2 linked regions of the Tamandua tetradactyla genome follow. Each later gene encodes a partner of the first gene's protein in a complex. Links are inferred from orthologs where the notes say so. Each region holds a gene or a part of one and is shown on either strand. Other genes may lie near its edges.

Evidence for each region. Proteins that work in one complex are often made in the same cells at the same time.
Region 2: the proteins of IZUMO1 (region 1) and IZUMO1R are in contact, whole or in part, in a crystal structure (PDB 5JKC), measured with the Homo sapiens proteins. The link is inferred for Tamandua tetradactyla from reciprocal best matches to the Homo sapiens genes IZUMO1 and IZUMO1R. Residues at the interface, in NP_872381.2 of Homo sapiens: Met75, Val77, Tyr134, Val141, Leu146, Trp148, Lys150, Asn151, Lys153, Glu155, Val156, His157, Ala158, Arg160, Lys161, Ser162, Tyr163, Asn239, Ser240, Ser241, Pro242, Ile245; in NP_001186135.1 of Homo sapiens: Lys42, Tyr44, Glu45, Ile48, Leu58, Trp62, His65, Leu66, Asp67, Gly80, Leu81, Leu82, Met83, Pro84, Gly85, Arg87, Ile91, Met145, Ser146, Tyr147, Gln171.

Annotation. Positions count from the first base shown.
Region 1 is NC_135342.1:12,311,560-12,319,074, reverse strand, and holds the start of IZUMO1 (izumo sperm-egg fusion protein 1), read right to left. Parts: upstream 3,015-7,515; 5' UTR 2,511-3,014; coding exon 2,177-2,510; coding exon of another isoform or gene 2,117-2,176; intron 1,807-2,116; coding exon 1,732-1,806; intron 1,373-1,731; coding exon 1,286-1,372; intron 1,112-1,285; coding exon 1,091-1,111; intron 800-1,090; coding exon 719-799; intron 560-718; coding exon 459-559; intron 184-458; coding exon 30-183; intron 1-29. Other genes in the region: FUT1 (galactoside alpha-(1,2)-fucosyltransferase 1), read right to left, coding at 5,478-6,581. UniProt on the Homo sapiens protein: Essential sperm cell-surface protein required for fertilization by acting as a ligand for IZUMO1R/JUNO receptor on egg.
Region 2 is NC_135334.1:48,670,224-48,677,489, reverse strand, and holds IZUMO1R (sperm-egg fusion protein Juno), read left to right. Parts: upstream 1-4,847; coding exon 4,848-4,982; intron 4,983-5,627; coding exon 5,628-5,816; intron 5,817-6,242; coding exon 6,243-6,378; intron 6,379-6,482; coding exon 6,483-6,751; downstream 6,752-7,266. UniProt on the Homo sapiens protein: Receptor for IZUMO1 present at the cell surface of oocytes (oolemma), which is essential for species-specific gamete recognition and fertilization.

The sequences.
Region 1 (7,515 bases):
CACCCTTTTCTCCACCCAGCAGCACTGACCTTTGACCTGATAGTAGATGATGGTGGCTGGGCTGGAAATCACAGTGCCCAGCTCGCAGCGGTACTTGCCTTCGTCCGCTGGCCCCACCATGGTCTTGGTCAGGGTGGGCTCTTTCCCCTCGTACAACAAGGTCTCAGTCGTGTTCTCCCAAACCTAGACCCAAGCTCAAGGGGTCACAGAGGCCTGGGGGATTCAGGGGTTGGGGGATCACAGGGGTGAGAGATCACTGGACCTCAGTAGGGGACGTGGGAGTCCAGGGTGTCAAGGGCTTGGGGTCACCGGGGTCAGGAGAGGTCAAACCTGGTAGGTCAGGGGTCATGGGGTGGGGGGAGTGGCATGGTGCCGGGCAACCGTTACAGGAGACCAGGGGGCTCACGCAGGCCTGATGGACTTGGAGTTCAAGGGTTACAGGGGTCGGGGGGCCCCACCCTGAAAAATCTGTATTCGGTGAGGCCTTCGGAGACGTGATGCCAGTTGAGCTCACAGTCCAGAATCATGTCCTCCATTTGATAGACTTTGATGTGGCGATCTGAGGATGGGGAGATCGGGCGGGCTCACTGCGGGGCACTCCTTCAAGGTTCCTCGCCCCCACTCCAAGTCCCCTGGCCCTGGGCTGGGGGCCCCTCCTGCCTCTCCTCTGGCGCTGCCCCTGCCGCACCCACCCTCCCACGGGATCCACCTCTCTCACCCCCGCAATTTACGGACTTCCGACAGGCGTGAATCTGCTTATCGCAGCCCTCGCACCAGATCAGGGTCTGCAGTAGCATACCTGAAGGGGCAGGCCCAAGGCTTGTACGTGCCCTTTAAGAGGCGGGGCTAAAAGGGAGGGGCGGGGTCTGACCGGGGGCGGGGCTAGAACGCAGCCATGCGGGAAGGAAGATCCAAACCCGCTCCCTACAGAGGGGAAACCGAATGTAGCCGTCCCGCCCTTAAGAAGTCCAAGGTGCAGAAAGGAGACCCCGGGACTTTTCAAACGCATAGAATGAAGACACCACGGGGACCCCGAAAGGGGAGTGGGGAAGAGCTGGGTATTGGTGGGGTTACCTCAATCAGGACTCACCGCATTTGTTGGGACAAAAAGCTGCCTCGGATGGAAAATAAAAGAAAAAAAAAAAGAGAGAGAATCAGATTTCTAAGTCAAAGGGGGAATGGGAGCGGGGGCAGGGGAAGAAGCTGGGGGCTTGGACTCAAGTTAGAGGAAGGAGGGGATCGGAAGGGCTGGGGGCCGGGGTCCCAGGATCCCATCTTCCCTCACCCTCTTTTAGGAACTGAGCAGCATAGCGGGAAAAAACCTCCTTTTGCAGGTGTAACATCCAGAATATCTCCTTCACGAAGAGTTCGTCTGGGAAGAAGCAGGGTGGCGCAGAGTGGTCCCCCTCCCACCCTATCGGAGGTCTTCAGAGTCTGCCATTTCACTGTCCCGCCTTCTCAGGGAAGGGAAGGGAAATGTAATGATCCCTGAATATCATGCCGGCCGCGGTGCTAACCGATGCAAGTGTAAGGATTCATTTAATCTTCACAGCTACTGGTCTCTATTTTAGAGACGAGGAAGCCGCGAAGTCCCTTGCTCCAGGCCACGCAGCTAGAAAGTGGCACAGCTGGAATTTGGAACCAAGGCAGTGGGCCTCCAAACCAGAAATCACCAGCAATCACGTTCCTGAATAATTCTGGGGCCCCCACTCCCCTCCTCCTTGCATCTACCTTTAACCCCACTGTCTGTGATGCGTTTCAGATCCTTCAGGAAACTCCAGGCTGCCTTTTGCAGTGTGGGCTCATCTGTGGGGGGAGATAGGACCAGACCACGTTCCAGCGTCCCTGTCATTGGCTCCCCTAGTCTTAGAAACTACAATACCCATGAGGCCTCCAGACAAAGATAGGCCTGGTTAATGGATTAGCTGCCCGTTGCCGTCTGGGAGTTGTAGTTTCATTACATAAAATTGCAGGCTAAGGGGGGTGTGTGTGTGTGTGGTGGAGTCACAGTATTTGCTAGCCCCGGGAACTCCCGGAATGTGCATTCGCACCTTCTCCATTTCCAGAGCCCAAGAGAGTCTACCCCCAGCCCTCTCCTTCCTTTGGATCTAGTAACCTTGGCCCGGAACTTCTCCTTCACCAGGACCCAGGAGACTGCGTTCTGTCCTGCCCTTACCGACGGCCCCCATGTAGGAGTCTTCGTCTAGTGGCAGATCCTTGAAATCCCGCAGAGTGTCCTCGATCCTTTTCATCACATTTTCGCGAACACTGGCTGACAAGTGGCTAGGCAGGTAGTCTGTCTCCAAGGACTTAAGCGCCGTCAAGACCGACTGGTCACAGATGACACAGCCCCAGGCAGGCAGCAGGCAACCAGCCAGTGCAGCTACCAGGAGGGGAAGCGGCGGCCCCATCGCGGCCTGAGCGTCAAGTCCGCGAAGAGCTCCAGGGAGGGGCCTCCCACCCCAAGTCCAGAGGAGAGGAACGCTAAACGGAGAGAAGTCACGGTCCATAGAAGGGGACCCCACTGGGCCCTCTATTAATGGGGTTCCCAAACCATGAAATCCCTAAATGAAGAGGACACCTATCCTTCATCAAATTCCTTCAATCTGGGGGACCCCCAAATTTAGGATCCTCGTTGGAACCCAACTAGGAGACCAGCAAACTATTAAACAGGAGGTGTTCAACCGTCCCCTTACCAGAACTGGGAACCCACATCCCATGCAGACTTTCCAAAATTGATGTGATCCCCAACTCCCACTGAGACCTCTCAACACCCCTCCCCCAAATCTGTTGGATCTCGAGCAGAAAACTCAATGCCCAAACTAAATAGATTACCCAATACAGAACCAGGCAGGATATCATCAAATTCAAAATTTTCAAACCAAAATGCACTCCAAATACATAAACCTGGAGACCCTACAAATCTAAGCAAGACTCTAAACGGTTCTCCAGACCGGGAGTGAGGGGGTGGAAGGTGGGGCTTGTCTACGCTTCCCCAAGACTAACAGACCCCAATTTGCAGGGCATACCCCTCTCTTTAAGAGGAAAAGACGAACCCCGAAGCCCTCCAAGCAGCAGCCTCCCAATCTTGGCTCCCTGACCCTGGTGCCCCCAAACACTTGCTGAGGAGCTCACTCCAGGTTCTGAGAGCTCTTCGGAAGCCGGGATCAGGTCCTTCTACTCTTATTTCAGGACTGAAATAAAGGAATTGGTTGGAGACAAGGGGGAGGTGGGGTTGCGTGATGCCCAAGACCTTTCGATTGAGGTCTTGAGTCACGGGTCGCCCCTCTAGGCAGGGAGCTCCCGCAGCCTCGGGGTTGGCCTTTGCCACGTGCAGTCGCCGATTTCCCAAAAGCTTTTTCCTGGCGTTTTTCTAAGCCCCGCCCTGAAACCCAACTCCGAACCCGATTGGACCGCAACAAAGGGAGGCCCCGCCCAATGCTTCATGACGTCACAGAGGCGGCCGCCTCCGCACACGAGGATTTCCCCCCACCCCCCGGCATCTAAAACTGCGGAGGCCCCCTGCCTGCTCCTGCTCCCGGAGCCGAGAACCGGCCTCCGGCCTGCAGCTTCCTCCCTCCCTTGGCCCCTGACCCGGGCTTCTGGGCCTCTGGAAACCTGGCGTTGGGCCACGAGAACGCGGGGAGAGGCAGTTTCCAGTCTAGGACTACGACTCCCAGAAGGCCCTGGGTTGCTTTTTTGATAGCAACTATCGCAGTCAGCCCAGTAGCCTTAAGGGAAATGTAGTCCAACAGTTATACTCCTTGCTCACGTCCCCTCCCCAGCCCGAGAGGCTGTATGCCAAGGGTTCATGATCTGGAGGCCAGTCCCGAGGGTCCGGAAGAAAGGAACTGGGGGCTCGGACCTTTGGGTCCTGTAAGGTCTTTCTGCTTCATTAAAACAGGCCGCCAGAAAAACGGAAGCACGAGTGGGCCTCCGGGGAGTGGGGCGAGGAGGGGGAAACACTACAACCGCAAGACATCCTGGGCTGTGAAAATCCCCGGAAGTTTGCCCCTCTCCTCCGCACCCCTACCCTCACCCCAACCCTCCAAAAAAGCTGCAGAGACCGGGATTGATGATGTGGGCTTTTAATTCATACCTCCTTCTCTTCCATATGTGACAGGTGAACGGGGAATGGTCTCCCCAAAACTCCCTGAGAAGCCTGGAGAAAGGGCTTGGATTCTGAAGGGGGATGTGAGCAGAGGTTGAGGATAATAAAAGTATCTTCTTTCAACCCTCCAAAAAAGCAAGGAACTCCTGAAATCTGACAGGGATCCTGTCCTCCTTGGCCAAACCCAGTGCTCCCAGTTTGAGGCTGGGTTACGGACTCTATGTACTTTTAGGAGCCTTTCATCCTGGACTCGCCCAAAACCAGATTTGGTGCTTCTGTGAATTCAAGGGCAGACAATGGTTGGCACATGCACAGTACCTGCGGCAAATCCAAAGGGCAGGTTTGTGCTCTGCTGCCTCCCAGAAAACAGATCCCAGCACCCCCAGCACCCCCAGTCCAGCTGCAAAGGAGGAGGAAACTTTCTTCATTGTGAGAGGCAGCTTGAACTTGGAGGCAAGGTGCGTCGTTCTGTGTTTGGCAGTTTTTGAGCTTAAAAAAAATTTTTTTTTCAAGTGTCCGTGGATCTCTGGAAAAGTTGGCTCTAGAAGCTGTAGCATTTCAGCAGCCATACCCACACCTCACATTTCAGCCTATCTACCTCCCCCCATCCCCCTTTTTGGCTTTCTCAGGGCCTGAGGGTTGGACAGAGTTCTGCTCTGCTCACAAATAGCCCCAGCTTTTACAAAGCCCAGGAGCAGTACTGTATGCTGTCCAGCTAGATGCTTGTCTCCCATCTTTCAATCTTAATCTTGCAGTGGCGTGGTGTTGTTTCTGGTTGTTTCATTGGATTCCTCCTTGAAGTTATCTGGAATTCCAGAACCTCTGGAAGGGCCCTGCAGGCTTCCTCACAGGCATTAGATGTGGCCCTCTCTAGAGCAAATTCGCTCTAGAATCATTCCAGAAACATGGAGGGAATTGAATGCTTGCTCTGAAACAGCCATGAGTTCCCTCAGTCCTCCTAGGACCCAAGAGAGGAGTGCCACCTTCTAGAAAACACCAGGATAGTCAACCCTAGAGAGTTCCCTACTTCCTGGGGATAACTTTCCAGAAGGATTCGACTTGAGAAGAAAAAATGGGTACAGTGGCTTCTATTACTGCCATGAACTTCTCCAGACATTGCCACCATCAGGAAAAGATGTCCTGCTGGTTCTGGAAATGTTCAAGCAGTTCCAGAAAGCCCTACCCCCACCCCCATCTCTCAAAGGTTGGCCAATTGGAATCACTCTAGAAATGGCAAGGCGGGGATATGGTGCCCATCTGCTCCAGAGCCCCAAGCTTCTCCAAGAAGCCGCCAGGCCTCAGGAGATGCATCCTCCTGGCTCTAGATTGCGCTGGTCATTCCAAAAAAACGTCTCTGCTTTGCCTCTCAAGGCCCAGCTTTCGAGCGGAGTGGAGACAGGTCTGCAGCAATGCCCACCCACTCGGGCAGGAAGGCGGCCTCAGGCTTAAAGATCTTCAGGAAGTTGGAGTCTGGCAGGGTGAAGTTGGCCAGGTAGACGGTGTCTCCCCCAGCCAGGTAGGCAGCCCAGAAGCCGAAGGTACCGATGGTCATGACGGTGTGATTGCACTGCATGAGCAGCGCAAAGTCTTTCCCAGGCGAGGCCTCCTGCCCGTTGCCGGCAAAGATCACATCCCCCCGGGAGGTGTCAATGTTCTCCCGGCACCACCCCATGCCATTGCTGGTGACCACAAAGATGGGGTCTCGGTGCTGGGCCCGGAACCAGTCCATGGCCTGCTGGAGGTAGGTGCGGTCGCCCACCACGCCCCTCCAGTGGTGGGGCATCACCTCCAGGTAGTCCCCTCGGCGCACGTGGACGCCCACGAACGTGCCCGGGCGGCCCCTGGCCCGGCCCAGGCGGAGCTGACTCAGGAAGACCTGGGCCTCCTCCCGGAGGTGGTCATGAAGGGTGAACTCGCTGCGGATCTGTTCCCGGAGGTGGTGGAAGAAGGTCCAGGAGCAGGGAAAGCCGGAGAGCTTCAGAAAGGGGTCCTTCAGTTGGGCGTACTCCTCCGACATCCAGTCATGCAGCCTCACCTTGCGCCACGGCGTGTGGCTGTCCGCCTCGGGGGCCAGCACGGGCAGGGTGATGCGGAACACGGGCGCCAGGGTGGCGTGCATGGCGGGCGGGATGAAGGCCCGGCGGCCGTTGAGCTGGGCCAGGGCCAGCAGGGTGGCGTACTGCCCCATCTGGTTACCAAAGCGGCCGTCGGAGTAGATGGTCCAGGTCCCGGAGGGGGAGGGGGAGGGCGGGCGGCGGGGACAGGAGCGGGAGGCGTTGGCGGTCAGCGGCGTGCCGGGCAGGCAGAACACGGCCACGCGGGAGGACAGCCGGCAGCGGTCCGGACACAGGATGGACAGATCGAGGCCTTTGCGAAAGAGGTCTTGGTGGACGTGGAGGAAGGAGATGGCCGAGAGAAGGCAGGCCAGCAGGAAGGCCAGGCAGAGGTGACGGCGACTGGGGGGCCACATAGCTGCGGGTGGGAAAGGCGGATGAGGGGATGCGGGGCGCCTAAGGAGGAATCTCAGGGAGGAGGGGCTGGGGGCCTGGCCCCCCGGGGCTGAAGAAGGAGAGGCTGGGGATTTGGACCCTGGGGTCCGAAGGAGGAGGAGAGTGGGGACGCACCCTCCCGGGTCTAAAGAAGGGGCCCCTGAACGCAGGGTCCCGGCCCGAGGCATCCACAGCGCCCGCTCACCTGAGAGCCTCGCGGGTGGTCCCAGCCGCCAGACCCACTTCGCGCGGCGAGAGCGCCCGGTCGGCGGATCCGGCCCCCATCCGGCCGCCAGGTTCCCAGGCCCGGCACGCCCGGCCCTCCACGTCGCCTCCCGGGACTGGCTGCGAGGGCCCGGGGAGGGGAGGGAAGAGGAGGAGAGGGCGCGGGGCGAAGGCTCCGAGGGGCCGCCCCTCCCGGGCCGGGCAGGTGGCTCCGGGGCGGGGCCGCTCCGCCGGGTGTCCAGGCGCCCAGTCGGGACGCCCGGGGCTGGAGCGGCCGGCCCCGCCCCCTCCGCTCTCCGGAGCTGGGCTCCCGCGCCCGCCGCCCGGTCCCGGGCCCGCGGAGAGAGGCTCGGCGGCGGCAGCATCCCTCCCAGCGCCCGGCGGCCGGCGCCCGACCCTGGTGGCCCGTGCCGGGGCTCCCCGTTCGCCCCGCGGGACCTGGATGCGCCCGGCCCGGCCATCACCGCGCTGCGGGCCCTTGGGTGCGGGCGCCGGGGCGCTCCTCCGCCCCTGCCTCCCCCTCCGGCCGCGCCCGCCCCAGCGGGAGGGAGAACCTGTTTGCCAGGCTGCTCCCAGAGGACCAGGGAAGCCTCGACCCCCCTCAAGACCCCAGTGTCAGCCTCAGAAAATAAAAATGGATTTTGTGACATGGGGGCCCCTTCAGTTTCTCTCCCTCAGCAGTTCCTCTGT
Region 2 (7,266 bases), on another chromosome or scaffold:
ATTTAGAGGCTCTTCTGTACACCATAAATCATGCTAGGTGCTGGCAACAAAAGGATAAACAAGATAAAGTCCTCACCCAAGGATCTCTAAAGGGGGCTCCCCAGAGTCTAAAGGGAGAAACAAACAAATGTGCAGAAGATTACAAAACTTGTAATAAATGCAATGCTAAAAGGAACTATAGGAAGGCTTGCGAGCCCACAGAATGGACCCTAAGCCAGGAAGAGGCAAAGGAAGGTTTCTAGAGATACTGTTACCTATGCACTGAAGGATGTGTAGCCAGGTGAAAAGGAAAATTCATCCCTGCGAAGGGAGGTACAGCACAGTGGCACATTCACATAGCAGCGAGTGGCTCAGCCTGGCTAGTGTGGAAAGTAAGGCTGGGCTTAGAGGGGAAGGGACTCTGCAGTAACCAATGGCAATTCAAGCATTCTGTTTTGGGTTTTGTTTTCTTAAGAATAAAGTTGATTGGGATCAGCTGCTTCAAATGGTATTGTCCACAGACAGCTTTGGTTTATCAACTTGCAGTCAGAAAACAGATTAATCTGGAAGCCTCAGTCACAATAATGCAAACATGAATTTTCCTCAAGGACCACAGACTGTCTCTCTGGGGAGATGTCAGCAGCATGGTTCTCTGAAAGGCAGCCTCGGTAATTCCTTCCCATGCCCCACCTCCCTCGGCACCTGTGCTGGCTGTAATTGCATCTCATTTCCTACAGCTTCATTCCGGAGACTGTTAGCAAGTCCCTCCTTGACCTTCTTTCCTCCATGCAGAGCCACCTTCATCCTGTGACCAGAGGGCCTGTTTTCCATTTCAGTCATTACTTTTGTGATTCATTTCTGGGTTCTTGTCCCTGCCACATCCACAGTCATCTTAAATATAACATTAAAAGCCAAATCTCTTACCTCTTCAAGGCTTAGGGCTTCCGGAATATTTGCAGGAAATTGGACAGCCTGTGAGAGCCTGCTTCTTCCCAGTAGAGTTCACACCTGTGGGAAGAAGCCCTGTCACAGAAACTCCACTGCCACTTGGTGCCTGACCTCAAAGAGGGGAGGGACCCTGAGCTCTACTTCAGGCAGCTGGACTGGTAACTTGTCTTTGTTTCCACAAACTTGGGTGGCTTAAAACAACAGAAATCTATTGCCTCACAGTTTTGGAGGCTAGAATTCTGAAAACAAGATGTCGGCAGGGCCAAGCGTCATTTAAAGACTGGAGGTAAGGGCTCTGATCCATGCCTCTCTCCCGGCTTCTGGTGGTGGCTTGCCAGCAACCCATGGCATCTCCCCGTCCAACTGTCTGTATCCTACTCTCCCCTTCTCGCGGGGACCCCAGTCATATTGGATTAGGGCTCATCCTATACCAATTTGGCTTCTTAACTAATTATATCTTTAAAAACACTATTTCCAAATAGGGTCACATTCGCAGGATGGGTATTAGGACTTGAACCAGGTTTTTAGGGGACACAACTCAACCCATAACAGTAACCATGACTGCTCTTGAATACAACTAACCCGCCCCTCCTTCCAACACACACACAATCTGATTGTGGAATTTAACTTTAAAAAACAGGCTTCCTCTGAGACCCAAACAGCACCTGTCCTTTCGGTCCTGGAGGTCCTTCCACCTTCCACTCCCACCCTCACCTAGTTCTTAAGAGCACAGGAGATCTGAGCTCTGGTGCTCCCTAGCCGAGCCTGTTTTCTCCCTGAGGCTGAGCGCTCCGGAGTGGTGGCGGGGAGGGAGACAGGCCTGCACTCAGCACACAGGGGCTGTGATTACCAGGAGGTGGGAAACATTATTTCCCAGCATGATTACATGCTTTGCACATCAACTCTGCAGCTAAAAAATGCAGAGCGTGTCTGTTTCATACTCTCTTCTGTTAAAAAACGCTTTTAGTGTTTTGTTTTCATTTCCTAGGTCTAAGTAAAGCATATGTGATTTTGAGCTACTTCTGCTTTGGAGAGGGAACTTGTCAGAAGAAGCAAGCAAAGCAATGGGCTCCTTCCCTTGTGTTTTCATCATCTTTGGGGCCCTCCTAAGAATTGTAGCCAAGTTCCTGAGCCTCTCCTTAGTTGAGGGGGACATTCCCGTGAATATCACCACAACCAACTACTCTTGCCAAAATATTTCACAGGACAGTGGTCCCTCCCTTCCCTAGAGGCATCACGCTGGGGGAAGGGCATCTCGTGGGCTTTTGAGGGAGTTTTTGGTTTTGTTTCTTTTGGCTTTGGTCATGCATTAAGTTCTTGTGTGCCCACAGCCACAAACTTCATCTCCTGTGACCTGTGTGCTCTTACTCTGTTCCTGTGGGGTGTCCCGAGGAGAAGGCTGTTACTAGGACCCCCGTGTGGTCCATCCCAGGTAATTGAGCAGATGACTGAGGGCGAGTAGAACTCCAGGACAGGGCAGAGAGAGAAACACTTATAGAATAAAAGAATGACAATTAAAACTCACAAGACTTACCAAGCATTTACTCTGTGCCTGGTACGATTCCGAGTTCCTTCTCAGGAACTCTCCTTTTAATTTCTTCTTCTCATCAGCCCGATTATAATAACCTTCCCTTTTCAGGTGGAGACGTGATGCTTCATTTAAGTAATTTTCCTGAGGTCACTCAGCTAGTGAGTAGCAGAACGGAGAGCTGAACTTCGTGTCTGGTGAAAGAATCCAGCATCTTCACCACTACAAAGCCTCTTTTCTCTGGGAAAGCACTCTCGCTCGGAGCTCACCTCGATCCACTGCTGGAGGCCCTTGGGTAAAACAGCATAACTGGAGCCACCTGGGTTCTGCTCCCACACGTGGGCCTCATAGAAACTGAGCTGGGTAATAAATGGGTGGGTGTGGAATTCCCATCAACCTCAGCATTTCGGGGAGCCAGAGGGACCATCTGGAGGGCCTGCTGCTTTGAAAGTGGGTATGAAGAAAATGCTAGAAGGGCCACAGCTTTCTTCTTCTCTCCTAAAAGTAAACTGCTGTGGATAGAGAGTTGCGTTGAATTTAGACTTGAGAGTGGGTTCTGACGTTAGGAATGGGGGTCTCCAACTCCAGGATGTTTGAGGTTATAAACTCAGGCTTGGCTGGTGGTTTTCTGATTTCCTGTGATGGGTCCATGGCAGGCTCTGACAAGGCCTGGACATTGGAAGAGCTGTGGACTCCAGAGTGGGTGAAGCTAAGGGAGCTGTTTCCTAGGTTGCCTTTTAAGAGACAATGTTTTCCTGCAGCTGAGTGCTTGGGACGGGATTCTCCATTTCTGTTGCTTTTTGTTCGTTTGTTTAGTCTCTTTATTCCCTTAATTCTTCTTTGTCACTGCTATCCAGAACAGGGTTGCAAACATAGTGCTTAACAAGCACTGAGGGAAAGGCTGTCCTCCCTATTTTTATAATGGCATTGCGATTTGCAAGTGAAGATCTCTCACCTCCAACTCATGCCTGGCCAGGCTCCCTGGCTCAGACATGCCAACAAGGCTGCTGGGCCTTCGGCTGCCCCAGCCTCATGATGGGTTGAGGCTGATGCAAGCACAGCTGTTCTAGAAAGGCATCTGGCTCAGGACCTGAGACTGGGGAGGGACAAGCTGCTCTGAGGAGCTGGGAGCTTTGCTTGGACCCTTCAGAGGGGCTGGAATTAGGGCTAGCCCTCGATGGGGTGAGGTGGGCTTGTCACACTGTCCTGTCCCACCACACCCTTTGGGCCCATGTGCATTAGTTCAGTTACTCAGCCAGTAATTGGGGCCTGCTGTGGGCCAGAGTCAAAGCTCTGAATTCCAAGCCTATGTGCCACTGAGTTAGAAAGGAGAACAGCCAGGGGAAGTTCCCTGTGGGAAGGCTGGGGACTCTCTAACCCCTGACTCTCAGCTGAGGGCTGGTCTCGACCCTTCCCTGTGCTTTAGTTTCTGCATCTGAGTAATGGCTGGGGTTGGGGGTCAGCCCTCTAAGTTTATCCAAACCACCTAACATTCTGTGATGCTGCCTGAGATAGAAGATCTGAGGAGCAGCCACAATGTCACTTGAAAGAGTCTTGAAATTCTGCCTCCCATACTCTGTCTTCAGTACTTGGTATTGTTACCAGAAAAAGGTGAAGGATTCTTTTGCCTGACATGCTCAATAACCAATTCCTGAGGCACTGGGGTTTCAAAGACAGAAAAGGTTTAATACTAGGCACATAGTAGGAGAGCAGATGGTCTAATGGTCCAAAATCTTCTCCCCAAACTGCATCAATTCTGATAGCTTTATTAGAGAAAAATATGGGCAAGATTTAGGATAATGAGCACAGTGGCCCTAGATGATGTAATTAGTGGTGATCTAATTATTGAGCATACGCAGATTGATGACATGCTTAGTCACAGAATGTATGTAAGAAAATGGCTGAACGAATATAGGTGACTTACAGGTTAAAGTCTAAGCTACTGTGCATCTCAGTCAGGCCCACTTTGGTTAGAGCCAGTCTCAGCTAACAAGACAACTGGATTTGGGGTGAGACAGTTCTGGACTGACACAAGACCCTTCATTAACAAACATTAGGAGCTGTCTTTAGTAATTACAAGACTGTAAAGCTGAAAAACTGGATAACTGGGTCCAAATGAAGGTTAGTCACAAGGTTTTTATAATCACAGGGGCAGAAGATAAGGGCTGTACAATAATTATCAGAGTTCAAGGCGGCTGGATTACAACTCAGAGATTTCAGGAGATTCCCTCTGTCTACTCCAATATACCAGTAAGCAAAAAAGAGTATCTGTATAATGATCGAGCAAGCAAAATCATCCCTGAAATTCTGATTTCTCAGTTACAGTATGGTGGAGGGACTGGAATGGGGTGTTCGTCTGGCAAGCAAAAGGGTCTCTTCTCTGCAGAAGGCGATGGCATGGTGGTGGCTCCTGCTAGGGCTGTGGATAGTCTTGCCTGCCTGGGCTGGGAACGAGCTGCTCAATGTCTGCATGAAGGCCCAACACCACAAGAGAAAGCCTGGCCCTGAAGTCCAACTCTATGAGGAGGTACAGAGGCCAGACCAGCCTAGGGGTGGGTGGGGGAGCTTTTTTGGTAAAATGGTCTCTGGACCCGTCAATCTTGGCTGTTTGGCTGGGATTGGGGGCAAAGGTAACTAGAGGGAATCTGTGACCTTTTGAGATCATAGAGCCTGGTGATTTAAGCCCACCTCAGACCTGTTCCAGCCACTCGGGGAGTAGGATGAAATGGTGATTCCATAGGCCAGTGTTGGATCAGCAGAGACGAAGACAACATTCTCCTTCTATAGCCTTGTACCCTCCCACCCAGTGCAATTCACCCAGTGCAATCCCACTTTCCCCTGGGACTTGTTGGGGCTTCTTGCCATACTTGCTTTCTCCTCAAAGCCCCGGCCAGCTCTAGGAGCTGAAACCCTGGAAGTCATGTTTTTAGGGGGCTATAGCAGCCTGAGGCAGGGAGGTCAGTGTGCTGGGAGCCTTCTGCCCTTTCAGTATGAATATTGACAAGTTATTAGGACTCCTCGTATGTAAAAAAAAAAAAAGCTCCCCCACCCACCCCTAGGGGTTGCTGGCCTATAGGGATCCCACCGGCCCAGGTCCTCTCCCAAGAGACATTTTTATTCTGTCCCCCTTCTGCCCTAGCCACTCACCAGCCTCCTCTGCTCTTTGCTTCAGTGCATCCCCTGGAAGGAAAATGCCTGCTGCACAGCCAACACAAGTTGGGAAGCCCACCTGGACATGTCCCTGCTCTACAACTTCAGCTTGACTCACTGTGGGCTGATGACCCCAAGCTGTCAGAAGCACTTCATCCAGGCTGTCTGCTTCTATGAGTGTTCCCCGAACCTGGGGCCCTGGATCCAGCCGGTGGGGAGACTGGGGGCAGATCAGTGCAATGCCCTGTTACTAAGAGCCTGAGCTTCTGTCCCCTCTTATGCTGGCATTTCCAGAATGCTAGCAGGAGCTGCAAGTGCTATTGCCTTCCAGAAAAGAACAGAGTCAGAGACCCCCACTGGGGGAAGGATGGAGAAGAAGCTACCTCCAGGCCTGGAGAAGGGAATGGGGGAGACGGGTCAGATGAGAACAGTGGGATGAGACACTATCACCCATGGGAAGCTTGGTGACTTTAGATGAACTTGAATTTGAATCCCATCTTCTGTACTTATTAGCTGGGTCAAACTAACCTCTTAGCCTCACTTGTAAAATAATACTTTTATGGACTGCGCAATTCAAGATGATATACAGATGATACCTGCTATTGATGCTTTTGTCTCTTTTGATGCCTACACCCAGGTGGGCCCAAGTGGGCCAGGAGAGCGAATTTTGGGTGTGCCGCTGTGCCAGGAGGACTGTGAGCGGTGGTGGGCAGACTGCCGCACGTCTTACACTTGCAAATCCAACTGGCAGGACGGCTGGGACTGGAGTCGGGGTGAGCAATGCTTGACAGGGCCAAGGGAGGGAAGCAGGCCCCTTGGAGGGGGGGTGCGGGAGTGGGAAGAGGAGTTGAGTTGTCCATGCCTCCATCTCCCGCAGGAAAGAGCCGCTGCCCTGTAGGAGCCCCCTGCCGCCCCTTCCCCCATTACTTCCCAGCCCCAGCTGACCTCTGCGAGAAGATTTGGAGCGACTCCTACAAGGCGAGCCCAGAGCACCGGGGCAGTGGGCGGTGTGTCCAGAAGTGGTTTGATCCTACTCGGGGCAATCCCAATGTGGCTGTGGCCCGTCTCTTCGCTAACCCTGCCCCCTCCTGGGAACTGCCCTACACGCTCATGGTCTTCTCTCTGTTCCTGTCCTTCCATCCCTAAGGAGTCCCTCCATCTTCCACCAGCTGTGGGGCAGGCCAGGCCCTGGCCACTTCCTTCCTTGAGCCTTTCCTTAAAAGGAACAGACTGACTGGGGGATTGGGGTGGGACATTGAGGCTGCAATAGCTGGTGCCTGGACCTTGCACATTCAGTCCCAGGCCCTCTCCAGTGCTCTGCTCTGCCTTAACCGTGACTGGAAGGCAGGTGGGGACTGGGAGAGCCAAGGTGGTAAACCCCCTCTGCCTTTAAAAATGTGGGGCTGTAGACTTGGGACCCCAGGCCCTTCTTGCTCAGTGTCTATCAGCTCCCGGGGCAGAGCTGATGATGGCAGATGTGACTGCCTCCTACAATGGTGCCTCCAATAAAATGGCAGTTGCTCTTTCCTCTCTGTCTAATCCACTGTGTCCTACCCACGTGCAGGAAGCCACCCTGCCCAAAGAAGGAGCCACTTAGGTTGTTTCACCCACTAATTGTTTAACTTCTTAATATGGGCCAAGGCCCTCTCCTTCTATCCTTG